Kluyveromyces lactis: one gene and its partner. The protein of the gene in region 1 interacts with the protein of each later gene in a pairwise test. Links are inferred from orthologs where the notes say so. Each region holds a gene or a part of one and is shown on either strand. Other genes may lie near its edges.

Evidence for each region. The genes of interacting proteins can lie anywhere in the genome.
Region 2: the proteins of PEX11 (region 1) and PEX4 interact in a protein complementation assay, tested with the Saccharomyces cerevisiae proteins (2 studies listed by BioGRID). The link is inferred for Kluyveromyces lactis from reciprocal best matches to the Saccharomyces cerevisiae genes PEX11 and PEX4.

The regions. Positions count from the first base shown.
Region 1 is NC_006041.1:177,001-179,630, forward strand, and holds PEX11 (Pex11p), read right to left. Parts: upstream 1,219-2,630; coding exon 514-1,218; downstream 1-513. Other genes in the region: DNA replication protein PSF3, read left to right, coding at 2,231-2,630. UniProt on the Saccharomyces cerevisiae protein: Involved in peroxisomal proliferation. Promotes peroxisome division and biogenesis.
Region 2 is NC_006041.1:364,473-366,874, reverse strand, and holds PEX4 (E2 ubiquitin-protein ligase peroxin 4), read left to right. Parts: upstream 1-1,279; coding exon 1,280-1,756; downstream 1,757-2,402. Other genes in the region: KLLA0_E04049g (pepsin-like aspartic protease), read right to left, coding at 1-340; KLLA0_E04005g (RidA family protein), read left to right, coding at 1,987-2,400. UniProt on the Saccharomyces cerevisiae protein: Catalyzes the covalent attachment of ubiquitin to other proteins. Essential for peroxisome biogenesis. Required for UBC4-independent ubiquitination of PEX5.

The sequences.
Region 1 (2,630 bases):
CAATTCTTTTGTCTTTTTAACAATCTGCTGTATTTCGAATACCAGATCAGATTAACAACCGGCTTTTCAATGAAAAGAACAGAATGAAATAATCCCAAAGCGATTAGTCTAAATTGAGGAATATCCACCTATAAAAATAGTGGTGATGTTATCCCGCAGAAGCAATGAATTACGAATAGAAGTGCAAGAGTAGCCGCGAATATGGTGCTCGCTTAATGTCCTCGATGAAATGGAATTTCAAGTAGTTTTCAACAATTTCAACTTTGAAGCCTGTCGAAAAGTGTAAACATCAACAAGTGCGGGTAACATTGGTATTAAAATGATGAAACAATGGTGATAGTATATCCTAATAGCTGCACAGACATCTAGTTAATACGGAGGCATCATCAGAAATTATCCCGGTACCAGCTGAAATTACAATTATCAACATATCGAGTAATATGTTAAGTTGAAAGAAGATACATATAAATATATATATATATATAAACTAAATTAAAGGGAAGGAGAAGTCCTTTAAGCAGTCTTCCAGACATCTTGTAGACCAAAGACGGATGTAGCGACACCAGCCAGGGCGACACTTGATTCGTCATTACGCAAGAATTGCAAGTTATTTAAGACAATGAAAGTATCGATAGAATCCCAGATTAGTCTTCTGAATGCGGCGAATCTCTCATTGTAGTAAGCGGTCAACTTTTCAGAACTAGCCTTTTCGGTTGGTGCATTGCCCTTAGAACTCAAAGAGGCTTCGATCTTTCTTTGAGAAGTGTACAACTTACGGACATCGGTGATCAAACCAGCGATCAACGCAACGAACCAAAACCAGTTTGTGTAACGAGGAACTTTCTTGGCAGTAATAGGAGTAGCTGGGATTAACTTTAGGATGCGCAACAAGTTAATTTGATCCAAAGTTAAATACCCAACATAACCCACATTTTTGATTATGGACAACCATCTAACCCATTGATCTGGAGCAATCTTGTTATCGTATAATTTGGCTGCGTCCTGGATATGATTCAATGGCTTGAAGAATCTCAAAATCTTTCTGACAGACGTGAATTCAGATTGTAACTGTCTATTCAAACCAGATCTGTATTGAACGGCAAGGAATCTAACCAAGTACTGTAGCAATCTCAAGATCTTTTCTCTGCCGGCTGTTTTATTCAACAAAGAAATGAATTTGGTCAACGTAGGATGATAAATAACTGTGTCTAAAACCATTTTTGTTTGTAAAACTTATAAGTTTAGATGTGGAAGATGACTCAGGATAACTGGCTCAGTATTTCAATTGATTTCTGAAGGAGGTAGAATATTGGAAACAGTATATTCAAACAAAGCACTAGAGAGAGATTGTATCGCAGGTGCAACGTATTTCAACAGAGTCTGATGAGATAGGAATACAAGGAGTAGTGAAAATGCTTAAAACTGCTTGTCTTTATTTTCAGCAGTCATTTTCTACTTTATATATAAATATATATATATATATATAAAGTGTGATGTTATACTTCATATGTCAATGGGCATAGATCAAAGCAGGGTCAACAGAAAATAGTCAGGCTCTACGGTAAAAGGAGAGGATTTCCACTTAGCAGCGAAACGTACTTTATTATCAACTTCTTTCGGGTCCCCCACAAAAAATGGGAGGGACAAGTCAGAGCTGCGAAGTTACTAGCACGGAAGATCCTGCTGTATTAAGGACATTTGTACCGGGGGAAGACATGCAACAATAGCAATCTTACTAGGTGAAGACTGGGATCCCGGGAAAAAGGGCGACATAATATTTAGTATGTAGGCGCACATTTTTACGTGTATTTCGGACCAAATGTCCTTCCGCTAACAGCTTGAAAAGGATGGCCCGATTTGTTCCGAAACTCGAGAAAAAAAAAAGGGACAACGAGAAAGCCATGTATGCGAATCGTGTACAGTGATATAATGACGATTTTGTAGTGTGCAAGCATCAATCACGTGATTTATATCATCGAGATGCATTTCCTCTCAACATCGCGAAACACGTAAAAAAGAATCGTTAACTAGCGAGCGATGTCTTCTGCTTTATAATACTGCGTTCTTTTCTATTGTTTACATTTAGAGCCATCAAGCCCAAACCTAAAATCATTTAAAGCATTTGTATATCTCATATTGAAGAAACGCCAAAAGTAAGATTACAATTCCAAATACCAGCCTATATTTTGCCGGTTCAGCTTCCTGAGAATCGCCTTAGATTTATGCCGAGATGGGATACTATGATATAGATGATATACTGGCTGATGGTACTAGATTTCCCTGTAGATTCAACTATGACGTTCCTGGGTTGGGTTATCTGGAGGGAAACCCAGGCAGACCAATATCGAAAAATGCAAAACTAGAGTTACCACTTTGGATGGTCCATCTTCTTGCTGTAGTGGGTGCGCAATCTAATGAAGATTCTAGAGTTGAAGAACCTCTTCCTTTTGTCGAATTGCTCCCGCCTGATTTATTCGCTCCAAGAGTACTAAACGCTATTAAATCTGGTGCTACTAGTCTCGATCTTCACTCAATTAGCCCTCATTTCTACACCCTGGCTGAGAAGTGGGCCACACTGTTCTCGGATAAAGAACTATCACAAGTCTTGAAAGATATGCTACTAGAAAGAG
Region 2 (2,402 bases), about 190 kb from region 1:
ACGGATTGCCCGATCCAGGCACCCACAAATCAGAAGAACCAGTATCGATTAAAACACCAACCTTTTGTGCAGGAGTACCAATCTCTAAATCAACAGAGTAAAACGTGTTCTGGTTATCGATTTCAACGTCGACGTAACCATCTGCACGCTTCTTCAAATGGCCAACGCGTCTCTTCGATAATGACGCCTCAGACGCGTCATTCCCTCTCAACTTGTCAAAAGACATGAAGACATGCTTCTTATTCGCCTCACCGACCTGGGAAACGTCACGTTTCGTAATATACCCAGCAGAACCAAGGGACGCCAACAGCGCCCCCAAACAAACATCACTTAACTTCATTGCTGGTGTTTGCTATATATGCGCCTTGGATAATAAAAGGGGGAATTAGTAACCAGTACCAAGAAATGAACTTTAATTATTAAAGAAAAAAAGACGTCAGCCAAAGTATAACGTCTTCTGTAAAATGAAAAGACCCTTTATATATATACGCTAAGACAATAGCCGCTGTTTTCTTTCCAATTCAATGAGTCAGTTACCTCAAACTTTTAGGAGAGAAGGTACGTGATGTGAAATGCAAGATGGGTAGAAACATTTTCCAGTGTACGTTTAATCGTGGGAAAAAAACCTTTATAATAAGGCAAGTTTCATAGAACTTCCTTTTTTTTTTTTTTTTTTTTCAACGTTTCAAAGTTCCCACATCGCCAACTTTCGACACGGGAAACAAGCACAAGCCTTCATAGAGCGGGGCATTTCGTCAACGATTAAATATAGAAATGAAACGAGGCAAGAAAAAAAAAGAACTGAGGACACACCGTGAATGCAGATGGGAGCGTAACGGGCCAAGCCCCATCGATGACGAGTATGTTTTTTACTCTGTAGAATGTAGAGCAATGTGTAGTTGTGTAGTTGTGTTGGCTACGTTCTCCTCAGGGTCTGTCCTGTGAAGTATATCTGGGTAACTAGGTTACGGACGTGGTTTATTTTGAGTTGTCATTTGAAGCGTTTTGGCAATTTGGTGACCACTAAGTTATCTGGCTCTCCAGTAATACCCGTAATACGCAGTAACTGGGTGAAGAAATTTTGACAACTTTGTTGCCTGAGCACTCCATCGCCGAAAGGGTGATTTGCTGCAATTTTTTTCCTATATCTTATTGAAGAACTGAAAATTATTCAATTTGGTTCAATTCTGTGACGTGATTGATTGATTGACGGTCTTTGCACGCACGCAAGCACGCATGCATGCAAACACACACACACATGGGAAATTAAAGATCGAAGATGAGTAGGATTGTTAAGGAGTATATGGGGTTGCAGAAACGGTTGCAGACCCCTGAATTCTCATGGATCAGTTTTCTTGCACCGGTAGATGATGATGACTTATCCGAATGGGTATGTCGATTCCAAGGCCCGTCAGAATCGCCGTTTGAAGGGTTTGAGTTGGGTTTGAACATTACCATAGATCTGGAAAAGTATCCGATCAGTGGCGGTCCTCGGGTTCTGTTTGAGCCACGTACCGTGGCTCACCCTAACGTGAAGTGGGACACGGGCGAGATTTGCCTAGATCTTTTGAAAGATGCATGGACCCCGATATATACCTTGCTAGATGTTGTTGGAGCTATAAGAGATTTGTTGGCAGACCCTGGTTTGGACTCGCCACTAGATCTAGACATTGCCCAGATATACGATGCTGACTATGAAGCCTACGTGCAGATTGTTAGGTATAGACTTGAGGAGGCGCGGTTGGCACGCGTTTGAGTACGACTTTTACGTAGAAATACACAGCAACATGGCTGGATTTTTCATTTTTCCTTGCAGTGAAATTGAATAGGAATGATTGAAAAAGGATTAAATGATGGAAATGATGCAACTTATATTCCTTTGTACATGTTTTATACACAAATGTATGTTACTTTGACTTAGTACTTTCTTTTTGCCTAGCTTCCCTATTGTTCGCGGGGTGGAGACACTTGATTATCGAAAGAGAAATGGCTAGAAAGATTACATGGAAAGACGTTGGGGTTAAGGACGGGTTCCCATTAATTTCACCTGGGTTCGCTACAGAATCGGGGAATCAGTTACTATTCAGTAGTGGTTGTGTTGGTACAGATCCTGTTACCAATGAACTACCTGAGGATTTGGAACAACAGGCTAGAAATTCCATGATCAATTTGAAGAAAGTGCTTGAAGTATCTGGATCTTCTGTTGATTCGGTCTTGAAAATCTTGCTGTTCGTTTCCGATGGTAGTTACGCTGGTATCGTTAACAAAGTTTTCAAAGAATTCTTCCCTAATCAACCTGCTAGATCGTGCATTGTCGTTGCATTCCCCAACAATAAATTGAAAGTCGAATTAGAATGTATCGCTGAGATTCCATCCAAGAAAAGATGGTTCAAGTTGTGAAG